4 linked regions of the Caenorhabditis elegans genome follow. The protein of the gene in region 1 interacts with the protein of each later gene in a pairwise test. Each region holds a gene or a part of one and is shown in the gene's direction. Other genes may lie near its edges.

Region 1 (3,631 bases):
TCCAATCAGACGATTTTTTGTAGTTACTGTTTTTGGGCCACTTCCATCAGCGTTTCGATTAACTTTTTTATTTCGGTAAGGATCAACTCCGACGATTTTTGTAAGTTTCTTCTCACAGTCTCCACACACCATATTCTGCGAAAAAAAAGCCGTATTGTAAGATGTATGTTTTTTTACAAAATGAAATATTAAGATGCTCGAACGACATGTTGTAGAAACATTCTGAGGTTGTCAATCAAATTTAATTCATTCATGATAACAGGAGAGATACGAAAATCAACGAGAAGAGTTAATAATAACGTAAATAAATTAGAGATCCAAATAGTTTACTGCTGCTGGGCATGAGCTTGAAGTTCATTTGAAAGAGCCATATTTAGTTCCTCCAGTTTTCTCTTCAAGATTCCGATTCCCATTGTCACGATTCGCTGTGCTGGAAGAGCACCAGTTCCTTCGACTGAAACATTTAAAATTATAAGCAAAATATCTGACCGTGACTTACTAGAGAACCAGAACTTGTTAGGCTTGTTGTCCGGCTCGAATGGTGCCTCCTTTTCAGTGCTGTCTTCTGGTAAAGATGAATGATCGCTTCTGCAAAAAAAATGTACGAAATTCACAAAATACTGATAATAGTTCTTACCTTGGCCATTCCTCAACATTCGGATAAATTGTATGTCGGAGAGCATTGTCTGGATCATATTCAAATGCAACTCCACAGGTGGGATTCCATTTTGCATGTTCCTTTCCGAAACCCTTTTTAACATAGGCTTTTAGGTTAAGCTCTTGTCCCTTACGCAATTTTACAATCAGAATCTCTTCTCTGTTGTGAAATTCGTCACGGGTCGATCCACGCTCACGTAGTGCTTTTCCACAAGCTGGTCGGACGGTCTGTAAAATTCCAATTCAAATATTTATCAAATGTAGTGAAGTACGGACCCTAATAAGATTGCTCATCGATTTTATTTAAACGTTATTAATATTATTATTGAAATTTAATTCACTCCATTAAAAAAAAATGAGTTGCATTTTTTTAAATTTACCGTGTCTAAATTATGCATTGGCATTAGATGCTCGGTAGTAACAGCCAAAGTAGCTTCATCTTTACATTTCATCTGCAGAATGAACGGTATCGAACACTCATCGCAGAACTCGGCACATTCACAATCCTAAAACCAACATTTAAAAAGTTGTGAAAGATTCAACCCTATCTTACTCTGGTGTATTGCATTTTTTCGACATGATAATCAGATATGAACGGAATCAAACCCATGCGATGTGCAATAAATTCGTCGTGGAGGACAGAAGTGTTAGTTTCAATTTGAACCCAATCAATAGCTATGGTTGGCACCTGAAATGTAATTAAAAATATAGAAAGAGTAATGGTAAACAGGAAACAACTCACTTCTGCCATGAAAACTCGTCTCAGTGAATTTGCGACACTCAAATCAGTGTCCCACAGTACAAACTTGATTATATCATTTGTCAGTTCGGTAACCTCGATGTTAGGTTGATTTGCGTACGGCATTACTAAAAATGATTATTATAAGGAAAAATGAAAAATCTAATTATTGAATTGAAAACATTTAAGTCGAACAGAAATTCAAAACAAAACGTCGCTAAACAACACGCACATTCGTTATTTCGGAGTGTCGTTTCAGGTTCTCGGTTGGTAAGCGAAGTACGGTAACACTCATTTCAACTGTGCGCTTTTGTCACTGCACAATTTCAAATAATCATTTTTTAATTATTTTTTCGTTTTAAAGTTAAAAATGGTTCAGAGTTATTTCAAATTTTAAAATTTTTCAGATGAACAGATACGATCGTGCTATCACTATCTTCTCCCCTGATGGACACTTGTTCCAAGTGGAATATGCCCAGGAAGCTGTCAAGAAGGGTTCGACTGCGGTGAGTGGTTCCCCTGATGAAAATCAGTTGGCAGAAAATTATATGAGTTGCACTTTCATATGAATATGATATCAGCTAGAATTGAAGCACCCGATTCAAGAAGATTTTAGATCTATTTATCGTTTTATATTTAAAAATAAATCAAAAAATTCAATGTAGATGATTGATATTATCTATCTAAAAATCTAAAATTTCCCGAATTATGGTTCAAAATAATACGGTTATTTTTAAAACCTCAAGTTATAATTATGAATGTTTCAGGTCGGTGTTCGCGGAAAGGATTGCATTGTTATCGGTGTTGAGAAGAAGTCAATTCCAGCTCTTCAAGATGACCGCACAATCCGTAAAATTCATATGATCGACGACCATGTGATGCTCGCTTTTGCTGGATTGTCCGCAGATGCTCGTGTTCTTGTTGATCGTGCTCGTATCGAGTGCCAGTCGTACAAGTTGACTCTTGAAGATCCAGTTACCGTTGCCTATATCTCCAGATATATTGCAAACACGAAGCAGGTATAAATATTTTATTTATGCAAGCATAACTTTTACTGATTTTCAGCGCTTCACACAATCTCCAGGACGTCGCCCATTCGGAATTTCAATGCTCATTGGAGGATTCGATCATGACGGAACTCCACGTCTTTTCAAAACCGAGCCATCTGGAGCTTACTACGAGTACGTTGCCAACGCGACTGGAAGAGGAGAGAAACCAGTGCGTGAATACCTTGAGGAGCAATACAGCGAGGAAAATACTGTCGACGAAGCTACCACTCTTAAATTGGTTGTAAAGTCGCTGGCTCAGGTCGTACCACCAGGATCACAAAATATCGAGATTGCAGTCATGAAAAAAGTTAATGTAAGTGATTTCCACCTGAGATTATTTTCAGTAATAACATTTTTTTAAATTGAAGATGGTCCTTAATTTTAATTTTTTAGGATGAGCTGCAGCAACGTGTATTGTCAACTGAAGAAATCGAGGCTCTCCTGAAGGTTGTTGAGACAGAACGTGTGGCTGCTGAGGCTGAAGAGGCTGCATCCAAGAAGAAGTAGATTCGAACTTTTGTCTTCTGTCCATTATCCGTGTGTATTGATTTCCCAGTTATCTGCTCCCCTTTTCAAAACCTAATTTATTTTATTCATCTTTATTGACGGGAATGAAAAAGTTTTCCCTAAAATCTTCGAAATTCCTTTAAAACCATGAAAAGAAAGAAGCTATATATTCGAAATGACAAGATAATTGTGGGGTTCATTTGAAAAAAAGAGAAAAATATATATAAAGAAAATTCCAATTCGGCGAGCAATGGTTTCTGAAACTTCTAGCTTTCTGAAATATGGTATCCTTAAATGAGATTTGTTTTATAAGTTAACCTACATTTTCGAATAGAACGCATAATCTCTGCAATAATAATCACAGTCATTTTTTTTCCTGAAGTTCATTTTTCATTCAAAATTCTTCGATGAACCGATTGAAGTGGCAGTGGTTATGCAAATTGTTCTATACATTTCCTCTCCCAAGCAGAGGACCTTTTCGGTGAAATTCCGAATAAAAGTGAGCGGTACAAAAAGAGGGAAAGGAGGCAAATTTGAATATATTTCATTTATAAGCCTTCAAAAGTCTCCTCCTAGACTTACAAGATGCCATTGCCCTACGGCTACTTTTTTTTTCAAATATTAGATCTATTAATTTTATTAGATCTATTAATAAGATCTAATTTTTATATAATAAACT
Region 2 (3,138 bases), on another chromosome or scaffold:
CATAAAAACCAAAACTGTTGCTCCGCTTTTAATTTGCTCTGAAATATTAAACATGAAAAATATACACAAAAAAGTATGCTCAACATAAAAAAAGTTCAAAAAATATTTTGTGACTATAACAACAAAATATTTTTTATAAAGAGATTGTAAACATTTCAAACGTTTCAAATGCAATAAAAAAATTTTAATTTTAGATTTTGAGATTGAAAAATGTTGTCCTCTAATTAGTTGTCCTCTGGAAAGAGTTGGCTAAGACGCCTTTGGTCGTAAAAATTTTTAGTCCTTTTTGACGTCACACCATATCAAAATACGGTTGTATTATTTTATGTTTTTACAGTCCGATTGGAAACACATGCATATAAAACCGTTCTTACTAGGCAAGTTTCCGAAATTTTCAAACCAACTTTAGCAACATCTAATATAATAATTTCTTTATGTGCTTTTACAAATCGCATCTAACTGTGATATCTGATTCTGATTGCAAAATGTGAGTGTATAAAGGATTTTTTTATTCGGATCGAACTCTAGTTAGAGTACAGTATATCCAAATTTTCTGTTCAGTGAGATCAAGATATATGTATCTATCTATTTTTTCAAAATGAAAAAAAGAAAACAAATGAGTTTTACTATTTCTTATCAACCGAAGCCATAAATTTCGCTTTGCTTTTTTCAATCTTTTTTCCAATTTTTCGTGCAATCCAACGTACTTGTAATCTGGTTCGTCCATCTATTTCATCCCAAGGGAATCAAGTGTCGAATCATCAAACTCCGCCCATCTTTCCACCCATCCCCACCAGTTGAATAAGAATATGCTCATATGAGAAAAGTGTCTCGAATGCTCACTCATAAAACATGCAATTCTCTTTTGTTTTAATCTAATTATATCTGTTAGAATAATGAAAAAGACATTTTTCGGATAAAAAATTGAGAATAATTGAAAAGAAAGATGATGGTTGGGAAGAATACGATGATGGTGATGGAGTGCGTGTCTTTTCAAAAATTCTTATTCCTCATCTCGTCATTTTCTCTTCTTTTCTTCCAAAAAAATCGAGTATTCTTCTTTGTTGAGCTTCTCCTCCATCCCAAAAAAGTAGAGCAACAAGACGAGAAAAATGTTCTCAAACAAATACATTCATTTGTGTATATGTCGAGTGTTTGGAAGGACACTCTTCCTTTTCTAACTGCTTACTTGTTCCCATTTCTTTTCTGGGATTTTTAGGTTTCTTTGATTTTCGTTATAGAGCTGACTTTGTGGTTCTTAGAATATTGAAATTTATGACAAAATCTGATCGTTTTTTTTCTGGGCTTTAATGTTTTTAGAGATACCAATTATTCATTTTTTCGTACTTTCCAGCTTTCCACTTACTTTCTTTTTTTCTCATTCTATATAAACTAGATAAATGTTTTCCCATTTTCTATTTATGTTTCCTTCCTCTCAATTCTTATAGAATCAACAAATTGACCAATATTTCAAGAACTCTCTCTCACTCACTTACTTTTTACTTTTCCTACCTACAACTGCTCTTCGTCGAGAACACAACTTGTCTAGAAAAAGTGACACTTCTCTCCAAACTTCTCACTTCCGAATTTGAATTGCAAATTTGTGCTCAATGAGCACCATTTCTCCCCTCGTCCCACTGGGAATAATTTGTTGTTCCGAAATTTTGATTCTTTGCAGCCAACGACGTCATTCAGCTTCTCTTCCAAAAATGGTCAACGAGCTGTCGTTCAACTGTGAGGACGCATGGCTTAACCTTTTTGTTGGTGGAGAAATGTATCCAGTTCAAGTAAAAACTCTTATGAATCCAACAACCTGTGGATCTTATTTTCGGGATGTGGTTAAAGTATCTGATGCAGCAATAAAGGTTCGAGGAGTTCAATGGGATACTGCACCAAATCATATCAAGTTTCGAGTCGATATTGATAGAGATGGAGTTCTTTTTCGACATGTTAGTATTTCAATTTGAACATTTTCATTAAGTACATAGTTGGTGACCTCGTTGATTAGCACATGTTTTACACATACCGAATAAGAAAACTTATTTACCAAATATTTTGCAATTTTTTTCGGTCACTCAAAAACGGTGCCTCACCAAGAGCGAAATACTTTTAAACGCAAACAGGTGCCCCTTTAAATCTACAGTAACACGTGCCTTGTTTCGAAACTTCGACGCACATTTTTGGCCTCTTCGATTGAAAATATTTATTTCTTGGCAAGAGCAGGAACCGTATTTTGAGGGAAATATCAGAAAATTAACAAAATTCAGTCTCTGCTCAATGAGCACCTCTAAAAAGTTCGCCCGAATGACAATCAAACAAAATAAGTTTGTACGTGAAAAATAATATTTTCCATTTCCAGGTGCTCCAATATCTCAGAAATGGAAAACTTACAAGCCTCCCCGATGATATTTTCACTCTTGAGTCCCTAGTCGCCGAGGCAGAGTTTTTCGGTCTCGAAAAATATCGTGAAATGCTTAAAAAGAAGTTGTGGAAGTTGACTGGCAAACGACAGTACTACGCGTGCTATGAGGATTCTGATTAAAGTGGTAGCTAGAATCAATTTTATTATCCAATAAATGATAAAGATGACAATTTAGATTTTAATAAATAGAAAATGTCTGAAATCAAAAATCTACCAGAGAAGACAACACGGATTGGGGGAAGAAACTAGACAGGTTGTAGCGGAATGAGTTAAAAATGAGAAAATTATATGATAATGAGAAGAAACTTAAAGAGAAAAACGGTTTAAAATGGCATATCGAGACCGGGACAGGCATTCATACTATCACCTTCTTTCTTTCTTTTTTTTTGAGTTCATTTTTTAAAGTTTTGACCGGCAACGAGACAAACGGGGAGAGAGAGACAAGAGAGATAGAGAAAGGGAGAAAATAAAAAAGATAGTTACATGATGAGTTGACTACATTTTTACAATTTGTTCACTGAATTCTGAAATTAAAGAGAAGGGTAAATACTGACTGATTCTAACAAGATTAAGTTGAACTTGATGATGATGGTTAGAGCTCCAATGAGTGAACTCTCATGCTATCACCAACTGCCATTATGATAGCTGAATTCCCTGGTCGACCACCCCAACAATCCGAGTAGACGGCTCTTGGGAAGATTGGATTGGAATGATTT
Region 3 (5,051 bases), on another chromosome or scaffold:
GTACTACTACAGTACCCCGACCATATCTCCCACTGACCCTAAACCAACATACCTTCAAAAGACAAAAACTGAACTTTGCCTAAACTACAGTAATTCTACAGTAATCCTACAGTACCTCTACAGTACCCCGACCTTATCCCCCACTGACCCTGAACCAATACCCCTTCAAAAGACAAAAACTCAATTTTGCCTAAACTACAGAAATTCTACAGTACCCGACCATATCCCCCACTGACCCTAAACCAATATCCCTTCAAAAGACAAAAACTCAAGTGTTCCTAAACTACAGTAATCCTACAATACTCCTACAGTACCCCGACCATATCCCCCACTGATCTTAATCCAAGGATACTATAAAATAACCATTTTTTCAGTTATTCCGGAAAGAATATGCCAGCTCCAATAACATCGACGAGCAACACTTTGTACCTGTGCTTCTCCTCAGACTTGGTCACCAATTTCTCGGGATTCTCCGGTCTGTATACCTCATTTGTCTCGAACAACTTCAAGCGCGGAGTACTACCACAGGTGAGAAAAGATCTAGGCCGGCTTGGAAGCAGGCAGGCATTTTTGTGCCTAGGTACCTAGGGCTTCACTAAAAACTAATCTTTCAGTCCCTGACAACGGATTCAGTGGCGATTCGTCGTGACAAGAACATTCTCGACTGGCTCAAAAAGAAGGCCGAGGAGAAGAAGCTTATTGGAGCTGCTGCAGCACCGGTTATCTCTATCTAGTAGTCCCCCGAAATTCTCAATATGTAATGAATTATTATTTCTTCGCAATTATTTTTTGCCGCTTACTGTATGAAAGTGAAAGGAAAATTAGAAAATTAGTGATGGGGGGGGGGGGGGGGTGATAAGAGAAATCTGGGTTGAAGGGGGAGGGGTAGGGCGATAAAAAGGGAAATTTTAGGAGGAAGAGAAGCTGGTTTTTAAAAAATAAAATTTTTGTTCTATGCCCGGACGCGGGAAAAATTTCACATTGATCTACAGTAGATCATCATCACGGGCTTCTAGTAGCGGTTTTTCGCGCTCCATTGAAAATCGGTGAGCGGAAATTGCAGTTCGGCAAAGGAAGGTTTCAAATTCGGCAATTTGCCATTTTGCCGATTTGCCGGAAATTTTGAATTCCGGCAAATTTCACGATTAGCCGGAAATTTTCAACTCCGGCAATTTGCCAGTTTGCCGATTTGCCGGAAATTTTCAATTCCGGCAACTCCCCGATTTGCCGGAAATTGTCAATTCCGGCGAGTTCCCGATTTGCCGGAAATTTTCTATTCCGCCAGTTTGCCGATGTGCAGGAAATTTTCAATTATGGCAATTTGCCGATTTGCCGGAAATTTTAAATTCCGGCAAATTTGCCAGTTTGTCCTAAATTGTCAATTCCGGCGATTTCTTGATTTGCCGGACATTTTCATTTCCGGTAATGTGCCAATTTGCCGAAAATTTTAAATTCCGGCATTTTGCCGATTTGCCGAAAATTTTCAATTCCGGCAAAAATCGACCCCAGCCGTGGCCGAGTCAAAATGGCCTGAATATAATCAAATGTGCTCCAACGCACCAGCCGACTGTGACGGACATTATTCAGGGCTTGACCTACAGAAATCGTTTGACCTACTGGCGCCTCATTATAAACTCATATGACGTCACAAATTTCAATAATTTCCCGCGCTTTCTGGAGGTCAAAGTGCCCATCCTCAACAAAACATCCCGTTCAGGGTCCTATCCCCAAGTCTCCAGACCCTAAAGCCTACAATCATAAAGCTTGTCACTAAATAATTGCCATGTTTTTGTCTGCCAATCAACTGACTGTCCCCCTCCTGCTGTGGTATATTCAGAAGATACCAGAAGCTGTAACAAAAGACGCAGGACGTACAAGACAGGTTGAGAGAGACACTGTGGGGGCGCAGACACACACAAAAAAATCAGGGGGCGGGAAGTGAATCGAGAGAGGAAGAAGCTGGCATCTAGAATACCAGACTGACAGGCGACACACACCACGAAAAAAAAACATGTGGACCTTCAACAGATCTACCGCGGAGGCGCCAACTATGCCGTCAAGCTCTAATACGGTAGGTGGTAACTATTTTACTTTTTCTGGAATTTCATTTTGTAAGCTACCACGGATTTCTGGCTTCCCTCTCATAAATTGAAATGGAAGAGTTTGCCAAACTAGGCCATTTTGGCTCGGCCATAAGTGGGGTAGATTTACGGCGCGTTGCGTGTCGCGTCGCGGCTCGATTTTAGTTGTAAAACTAAGTCTATTTGTCCGTGTGGAGTACACGATTTTAACACGCGTTGTCCGCCGGGCGATTGTCAATGGAGCGCGAAAAATTCTCTGAGGAAAGACAGAACCCCGTGATTTTGGCCTAAAAATCATTAAAACAGGAAAATTGCCGAAATAACGGGGTTCTACCCTTCCTCATTGAATTTTTTGCGCTCCATTGATAATCGTCCGAAGGAAAACGCGTGGGTAAATCGTGTACTCCACACGGACAAATGCATTTAGTTTTACAACTAAAATCGAGCCGCGGCGCGACACTCAACTCGCCGTAAATCTACCCCAGTAATGGCCGAGCCAAAATGGCCTAGTTTGGCAAACTCTTCCATTTCAATTTATGAGGGTAATCAGAAATTCGTCATTTTGGCCTAAAAACACCAATTTGGCCTAAAAACATTAAAACCACGGGAAATTTGAAACAGGAAAAAAATGGCAAAAAATTCTTGGAAACCGGCGAAATCGGCATAACTAATCCAAAACGTTCGAATGTACTATTTTGCCGCCAAACACCTAGCGGGTCATGGTGCGGGGGCCGAGAATTTCCTATTGGCAGTGGAGCGCGTTTCCACGTGGATTTTTCTGCGTACCCATAATAGCCGCGTCACACAGTTAGTCACCCAATTTACTACCTAATTGCATGGCCTTTGTGTCGGAACTCGTTTTTTTCGTAATGTCGCAACACATGGTACATAGATAAAAATCTCGAGATAACCTATAGTTCAGTTCAAATGTGAAGCAAATTTACTGGTGAATCGGGAAAAAACTGGTAAATTGTTCGGGATATATACTTATTATACATCAAAAATTGCTCGAAAAATTGTGAATTTCAGCTTTTTTTTCAGGAAATATATATTTTCTAGAAGAAGAATACCGGAAAAAGGTGCGGGTCATTTTGCACGCCATCACGAAATTTTCGCAAATTCCAGCGTTTCCGTCAAAATAGTAAATGTATATTCAAAATTTTTTCATCTAATTATCAAGTGAGGCTGCTCTTTTCAAGTTTCGCTGTAAAGAACCGCCTCTTTTTCGTAGTTTGTTTCACATAAAGTGGTGGTGACTCTGCAATTAAAGGTGTGCAAACGCGCTCTGTGGTTACGTGCAAGAGAGAAGAGATTTAGAGAAGTTGGAGGGAATATTAATTGTTTTTTTTTGTTTTTAATTGTTTTTATGTGTTTTTTTCGCATTTTTCGTTGATTTTTCGTTAAAAAACTTCAAAAACAATAATTTTCATTCAAAAATTTCAATTTTTCCAGAAAAAATCACTGAAAATGGCAGATAACGACAGAAAACGAAAGCATAACCGATGGAATCAAAAGTGAGAGCTAAAATTTGAGAAAAAAAAACTATTCTAAGACAATTTCAGAGTTAAACAAAAATCTGTGGAAGCCGGAGTGACCGGACTATTCTTTTCCTGCGAAGGCCACGAAAAGCAGGCCCTACAAGAAGCCTACAGTATTATTGACGAGCTTCTCGAAGACCCGGCGAATGGAATCTCTCTTAAAGCACCAGAAGCTGCTCCACAAGGCTCAGAAGCACCCGGAAATCCAGCAGAAGCTGAAGATTCCGATGAAGACATTGCCGATGCGTTGAAAAAGGCTTGTGATGATCAGAGGCAGCCGAAGCCGGGAAATTTCGTGAAAAAAGAGAGAAGATGCATTCAAAGACCGACGGGAGTGAAGAATTGCATTTTTGTGAGCGTGAAAAACGCGAATATTCAACTTTTAGCCGAAAAAATGGTCGAGCTGACGCAAAAAGCTCCGCGTTGCAGGTTTTTGCAACGAGTTTACCCGGTGGAGCATACTTTAGCTGTGGATCTTTCAAAAATGAATGAAGTTTTGATGAAGGTGCTTTTATTTAATTAAATTAATTAATAAAATAAAAAAAAGTAATTTTTCAGGTAATCTCCGACACATTGAAGGCAGACGGCACTGGCAAACTTCCCACGTATTCCGTGGAATTTAAAGCGAGAAATAACGATTCTGTGGCGAAGAATTCCGTGCTCCAAATGGTCGATGACGCCGTTTGTGCGCTGGCTCCGACTGCGAGAGTTAGCCTAAATCGTTAGTGTCTCTAAAAATCTGAAAAAATTTCAAAAAAATCAAAAAATCAATGATTCCAGACGCCGACGTCACATTCTTCGTTCAAGTATCTCGTACGACAATTATGGTTGGCGTGTGCCGGCAATTTTACGACCGCCGAAAGTATAGTCTTCGTGCGACGCCGGCAGCGGCAGCGACATAAGTCTCTTCTTCGACCTTTTTCCCCCTTTCACCCAGCGCCTCATTGGCTCAGTGGCAGAGCGTCTGTCTAGTAAACAGAAGGTCGCTGGTTCGATTCCAGCATGAGGCACCGAATTTTTTTTGTTTTTTTCATTTGTTCTGTTAAAATACTTTGGCTATTTATTTGTTAAAATACATGAAATTTGAGATTCGATTGTTAATTATTTTTTAAATGCATGGTATCTATAACTGTGACGTGTCAAAAACTCAGGTCGACCCTTGCTCGCGCGCGTCTCATGCACAACCGAGCAAGAAAAAAAACGTGCAACCAACCCGAAAATCTAGCTCACCCGTTCTGCGCACTCCCCAAAATCAACACTATTTCGCTCTCTCGCAGCTCTTCCAAATTGTCAAACAAACCGAGTAGTTACACGCACCCCCCGCCGAAACTCGGGAGCATTCAATCTGGCCTGGTTTTCCAGTATGCTGAAATTTTTTGGACTATTGTAAATTGTTTGTGAAAAAGGTCTCGCCACGAACGAAATATTTTTA
Region 4 (5,635 bases), 6.7 Mb from region 1:
AATTGGAAAACCAATTTTAAAATCTTTGCTGCAACTACGGTCGACAACTGTGCAAACACCGCTGTGACAAATGCACTGAAAACACCATATTTCACGCGCATTGCGTATTTTGAACAATTTTCAATTTCTAGAATTTCTGCCCCCATTTTTTGTGATTTAACTTGATTTTCTTGAAGTTTCTCTTCAAAAACTTTACAATTAGCTTGTGGCAAAAGTGTTTCGTTCAAAACTTCACCAAAAATCTCGAAAAAGTGCAGTTTTCATCTTCAATTTTCGAAAATTTCAGCAAAATCACAAGATGATTATCCCAATCAGATGCTTCACATGCGGCAAAGTCATCGGCGACAAGTGGGAGACGTATCTCGGATTCTTGCAGTCGGAATACAGTGAAGGTTTTTAAAATTCTCGGATTTACTGAATGAAAAAAATCTCGTTTCTCTCAGGAGATGCTCTCGACGCGCTCGGTCTTCGTCGCTACTGTTGCCGAAGAATGCTTCTGGCTCACGTGGATCTCATCGAGAAGCTTCTCAACTACCATCCGCTGGAAAAGTAATCGGAGCCCCTTTCAATTGTTGTTGTTTTTCTGTTTTGTTGTGGCCGAATCTCAATTTTTACTTTTTTCCACCGTTTTTCCTCTTTTTCTTCACTAATTTCTCAAAATTTGATGAAACATTTGATTCAAGTTTGCTTTTTAAATTTAATTTTTGTCATATTGTATAATTGAGTTCACAGCTCATTCTTTATTTGTCCATGTGATGTGATTATTTTGCGAGAATTTGAGAATTTCCTAAACTACACCTCCTTCCACAAGTTTTCCTTCAAAAAGTTCCACGTGTCCGCTAGTCAGACTGTCTATCATTCTGACGTCTCTCATTTATCCCGCGCATTTCCTAATCTCGGTCATTTATGTCACCGAGACGGTCTGCGTTCACGACACTTTCTTATCGATTCTTTGTTTTTTTCTTCCAGAAAACCTCGTATACGGCGGCTTTGTCCATCGCTGACGGCGCTCCGGTGTGATCCGAGAAACACAGTTTTTGAGCAGCACAACTCCAACAAAAATGACTCGTGGAAATCAAAGAGATCTGGCTCGTGAGAAGAACCAAAAGAAACTGGCCGATCAAAAGAAGCGCCAGGGAGCCTCTGGACAAGACGGAAATGCTGTAAGTTTTCATTTCAAATTTCCAAATCACATATATATATCCAGTTGCAAATAAATATTCCAGGGTCTATCGATGGATGCTCGCATGAATCGCGACGCTGACGTCATGCGTATCAAGCAGGAGAAAGCGGCAGCCAAGAAAGAAGCCGAAGCCGCTGCAGCTGCTGCAAACGCAAAGAAGGTCGCCAAAGTGGACCCATTGAAGATGTGATTGATTAATTCTCACTTTTTTTTGATCATTTTTGTTTTATTTTATTCGTATTTAAAAAAACATCGTATGGGTTTCCCAAAAAAATGAATGCCTCTGTCTCCTTCTCCTGAAAAATGTATGATCACTTGGCAGCTCGCCAACCTAATCATTATCAGAGCCAGTTTCTGATTGTCTTCTTCGGCCGCCGCCTCACCTCATCTCTTCCTCCCACCCCGCGGCTTCTCTCCACAATTCTTGTGCTCTCTCGGGCTCTGGTAACTATGGCAACCGCCGCTCGTGAAAGCCGAGAGCAACTTCTTGCGTAACTAATCTCCTCGATTTCGACACCACACACTTTACCGCAAGGAAATGCGTAGAAAGTGAGAAGAAATGACCGAAAAGTCGTGGTTCGAAACTATTTTCTGCTGTTGTTGCCATCGTACACCTATTATCAGACGGTAATTCGATATTCTTAGGCTTATTTTTTTAAATGAAAATCGTTTGCTTGAAAGCATTTTTTATGAAATTTTGAAGATGTAAAACGGAAAATCCAAAAATGTTTCCTTATTCGAGGTTTTTTGGAAAAAAAATTATATTTAAAGTCGAAAATTCAGCTATTTTTAATATTTTCCGATCGATTTTTGCCATGAAAATATATTAAAAATTATTTTTATTCATTTATTTTATTTATTCTCCACTGATTTTCTTTTTTTTTGCGTTTTTAATGGAAATTAAAATGACAAAACAAGGTAATTGCAGAATGTTTGTTAAAAAATAATTGAAAAGGCGTAAAACTGTAAAATTATGATTTCCGACGACAAGCCTGAAATTAGTATATTTTACAGTTTTAGGCATTTTCAGTTACTTTTTAACAAGCATTTTGCATTTTTCTAGTTTATTTCTCGCATTTTCCGATAAAAAACACAAAAAAATGAAGAAAATAGGCCGAAAAATAAGAAAAATAAAATAAATAAATAAAAATAATGCAAGTGCGCTCCATCGAACAAGTTCAATTGGCGGAAATTCAAATAGGAATTAGGGGAAAACTGAGATTTTTTCAATTTTCAAAAAATCATATAAAATCTAGAAAAAATTTTTGAATTTTTTTATCATGATATTCGGTCATTGTGACGCCATATGCGTGTTTTAAAGCAATTTTCCCACATGAGAATTACACATCAACGAAACCCAGAAATTACAGTACTCTTTAAAGGCGCACACCGTTTTGCAATTTACAAAAATTGTCGTGTCGAGACGCAAATCCGCAAGTTTCCGCATCTGAGCAATATTTTTAGTTTGATGAATTCCCATAGATCGTGCCGAGACCCAATAGGTTTTTTTTCAGAGAAATCAAACTCGGATGTTTTGGCATCGGAAGCGCCGGAAAAACCACATTTTTGAAAGTTCTCAAGGGAGGTAAGCAAGTGCGCTCCGTCGCTCAATCCGAAATTATTTTAAAATTTGAATTTAATCCAGAAGATCCGCGGGATTTGCTCCGTACCAACGGGTTCTCCACAGTGAAAATGGAGTATGATGAGACTTTTCATTTGACGATCTACGATGTTGGCGGGGATAAGGGAATACGTGGAATTTGGAGCAATTATTATGCTGAGGTGTGTGTGTGTGTGTGCATGCGATAGGGCGCACTTTCACACTGGAGAATTTTTGAAAACTCTTATTACACGTGGATCTACAAAAAATGCGGGACTGATTTCGCATGGTTAAGAGCGTTTTGACGTCACATTTTTTTGGGAGAAAAATTCCCGCATTTTTGTAGATCAAACCGTGATTATTATAATTATTCTAAATAAATTAAGGTTCACGGAATCATCTATGTGATTGATTATTCAACGGATGAGACATTCACCGAGTCGATTGAGGTGAGAGAAGTTACGAAATTGATAAGGATTATGAATTATTCCTAAAAGTTATGAAATAAGATTTTTAGGCTCAAAATACGCTATCCGGTCTCGACACGACAACTTTTTGCAAAAAACTAAAACGGGTGTGCTCCTTTAAAAATTTTTAGGCAAAAGTACAGTAATTTCATTTACCGTATTTCTTCTATTAATATGGCCTCCCTATTAGACTTGCACTCCCTATTAGTATTGCTCCTTGAACACCCTCCGAAAATTAGTATTGCACTCCCTATTAGTGAAAAAGGCGGGGCCTAAATATGAGGTTTTCTGCAGTACACGCCACGCAGTTTTCTTATCTTGAGTGTAATATTGCACTCCCTAATAGTCTTGCACTCCCTATTAGTATTGCAAGCGGGAAGACCATCGAAAAATAGTATTGCAGCTATATTAATAGAAAAAATACGGTAGTTTTACAACTAAAACCGAGCCGCGATGCGACACGCAACGCGCCGTAGATCCACCCCAGATATGGCCGAGCCAAACTGGCCTAGTTCGGCAAACTCTTCCATTTCAATTTATGAGGAAATTCCATTAATTCCTAGGGAAGCCAGAAATTCGTGATAAAACAATTAAAACCACATATATTTTCGAAAAACTATGAAAAATCGGGCAAAGAACGTTTAAAACCACAGTAATCTTTAAAGGCGCACACCTTTTCGCATTTCACAGAAATTTGTCGTGTCGAGACCGGATACCGTATTTTCGGTCAAAATTTCAAGTCTCGGTAATAAATTACTTTTAAAAAATTATCATTCTCCAGGCTCTCCACTCCCTAACCAGCAATCCACATGTGCAGAAAAAGCCAATTTTTCTGCTCCTCAACAATCAGAACAATCGAGAATTTGATGACGTGGAAATTTCGAATGAAGTGAGTGACTTTGAGTGACTTAAATAATTTCCCGTAAACTGTCCCCGTCTTCTTCATCCCCCAGTGTTCCTTCTCTATCACGCAAACCTCTTTTCACAGACTAAAATCCAGGCGGGACAACACAAAATCGTACTTTTCTCGCATTTCAACAAGTATAACGGATATGTGAGTGCGCTTCAAGGTAGAAATTCAAAATTCCACCGATTTTCAGCTTGATAACATAAAAAGTGCCACATTGACGGTGATGGCGAGGGCGAAAAAGGATAGAAATGAGTATCAGGAGCAGTTTGTCAGATTCATCGATTCTGTAGGATTCCCATTTCATTTTCTAGAATTTTTAAAATTTTCCTTTTTTTCAGATTTCTGAGCACTATGTGGAATTATCCGAGGGTGTTAAAACCGCCGAGTTGGCGTTGAGGATCCGTCAGGAAGAAGCCAAAGAACAACGGAGACTGATGCAAATGAAAGTGGAGCACGATGCTTTGAAAGCCGACGTGGCTGGCCTGGAACTTCGGAACCAACCACCTGTGCAACCACCGATCCCGCCTGATCCTCCATCGGATCCGAAGTCCGCGTCGGTTCATATTGAAGAAAGTCCGCCGATGTCGCTTGCCAGCTCGACAATACCATCAGATATCATTCAGAGCACGCCTGAAACAGGAACTCCACGAGATCCTGTAAAGTGAGTCACATTAATTTACTTGAGAAATCCGATTGTTTCAGTTTTTGCAGAATCTCACAAACAAGCACGAAGCCTGTTTCGCCGGAATCTAACAGTGTTAAAGAAGAGCCAACTATCATTCTGAAAGACAACTATTTCTTGCCACCAAAAGCGCCTGGTCGACAATATAGCCGGATACAAAGGATTCAAAACGTTCTGAACAATCGAGTAGTGCCAAAATAACCTCCTTTTTTCACTTTTGAAGCCATAAACACTTTCTTGGTGTTGTTAACAGATTTATTGAAAACAAATAACAAGATCTTTAGTCGAAGAGACCGAAGCCCATGTCGTCATCGGATTCCTCCTTTGGCTCCTCCTTCTTCTTGGTCTCGGCAGCTGGGGCGGCTCCTCCAGCAGCTGGAGCAGCAGCGGCGGCGGCTGGAGCTGGTCCAGATCCGGCTCCGGAAGAGACAGAAGTGATGAGGTTCTGAAAACAATCGGGGTGAAACTTGAATATACTTATGAGAAATCCTTACCTTCACATCAACTCCCTCGAGAGCCTTGGCGAAGAGTCCTGGCCAGTATGGCTCGAACTCGACGTTGGCGGCCTTGAGAAGGGTAGCGATCTTCTCGCCGGTGATGGCGACCTCGTCATCTTGAAGGATGAGAGCAGCGTAGACGCAAGCCAGTTCTTGGTTCGAAGCCATTCTTCAATCGTAAGTTGCGCGGTTTGCCTTAGCTCCAAAGAGAACAAACGTTTGATAGAACGCTGAAAGAAAGTATTAATGCCACAAAGTGACCAGGGTAAGAAAACAATAAGATATGAAGCATGGGT

What was found.
Region 2: the proteins of pas-4 (region 1) and F47D12.3 interact in a two-hybrid assay, tested with the Caenorhabditis elegans proteins (2 studies listed by BioGRID).
Region 3: the proteins of pas-4 (region 1) and kel-8 interact in a two-hybrid assay, tested with the Caenorhabditis elegans proteins (2 studies listed by BioGRID).
Region 4: the proteins of pas-4 (region 1) and arl-13 interact in a two-hybrid assay, tested with the Caenorhabditis elegans proteins (one study listed by BioGRID).

Annotation. Positions count from the first base shown.
Region 1 is NC_003279.8:8,726,660-8,730,290, reverse strand, and holds pas-4 (Proteasome subunit alpha type-7), read left to right. Parts: upstream 1-1,803; coding exon 1,804-1,902; intron 1,903-2,163; coding exon 2,164-2,415; intron 2,416-2,461; coding exon 2,462-2,758; intron 2,759-2,838; coding exon 2,839-2,952; 3' UTR 2,953-3,073; downstream 3,074-3,631. Other genes in the region: C36B1.14 (Cysteine-rich PDZ-binding protein), read right to left, coding at 1-132; rpb-3 (DNA-directed RNA polymerase RpoA/D/Rpb3-type domain-containing protein), read right to left, coding at 327-454, 500-588, 638-885, 1,038-1,163, 1,211-1,345, 1,400-1,522. UniProt on the Caenorhabditis elegans protein: The proteasome is a multicatalytic proteinase complex which is characterized by its ability to cleave peptides with Arg, Phe, Tyr, Leu, and Glu adjacent to the leaving group at neutral or slightly basic pH.
Region 2 is NC_003281.10:6,296,783-6,299,920, forward strand, and holds F47D12.3 (BTB/POZ domain-containing protein), read left to right. Parts: upstream 1-1,678; 5' UTR 1,679-1,709; coding exon 1,710-1,949; intron 1,950-2,359; coding exon 2,360-2,542; 3' UTR 2,543-2,592; downstream 2,593-3,138. Other genes in the region: putative WD repeat-containing protein F47D12.9, read right to left, coding at 3,015-3,138.
Region 3 is NC_003283.11:2,669,453-2,674,503, forward strand, and holds the start of kel-8 (BTB domain-containing protein), read left to right. Parts: upstream 1-2,011; coding exon 2,012-2,071; intron 2,072-3,533; exon of another isoform or gene 3,534-3,548; coding exon of another isoform or gene 3,549-3,595; intron 3,596-3,643; coding exon of another isoform or gene 3,644-4,124; intron 4,125-4,177; coding exon of another isoform or gene 4,178-4,340; intron 4,341-4,399; coding exon of another isoform or gene 4,400-4,521; exon of another isoform or gene 4,522-4,715; intron 4,716-5,051. Other genes in the region: W02G9.4 (CUB domain-containing protein), read left to right, coding at 375-528, 615-734; thum-1 (THUMP domain-containing protein), read left to right, coding at 3,549-3,595, 3,644-4,124, 4,178-4,340, 4,400-4,521. UniProt on the Caenorhabditis elegans protein: Substrate-specific adapter of a BCR (BTB-CUL3-RBX1) E3 ubiquitin ligase complex that regulates degradation of glutamate receptors in neurons. The BCR(kel-8) ubiquitin ligase complex mediates ubiquitination and subsequent degradation of rpy-1.
Region 4 is NC_003279.8:2,064,007-2,069,641, forward strand, and holds arl-13 (ADP-ribosylation factor-like protein 13B), read left to right. Parts: upstream 1-1,711; 5' UTR 1,712-1,742; coding exon 1,743-1,810; intron 1,811-2,697; coding exon 2,698-2,768; intron 2,769-2,828; coding exon 2,829-2,965; intron 2,966-3,169; coding exon 3,170-3,232; intron 3,233-4,031; coding exon 4,032-4,139; intron 4,140-4,238; coding exon 4,239-4,304; intron 4,305-4,350; coding exon 4,351-4,446; intron 4,447-4,498; coding exon 4,499-4,821; exon of another isoform or gene 4,822-4,862; coding exon 4,863-5,043; 3' UTR 5,044-5,088; downstream 5,089-5,635. Other genes in the region: rpb-10 (DNA-directed RNA polymerases I, II, and III subunit RPABC5), read left to right, coding at 299-392, 444-553; moag-4 (Modifier of protein aggregation 4), read left to right, coding at 1,062-1,163, 1,227-1,373; rplp-1 (Large ribosomal subunit protein P1), read right to left, coding at 5,123-5,287, 5,337-5,507. UniProt on the Caenorhabditis elegans protein: Cilium-specific protein required to control the microtubule-based, ciliary axoneme structure. Required for normal sensory cilium function. May act by maintaining the association between IFT subcomplexes A and B.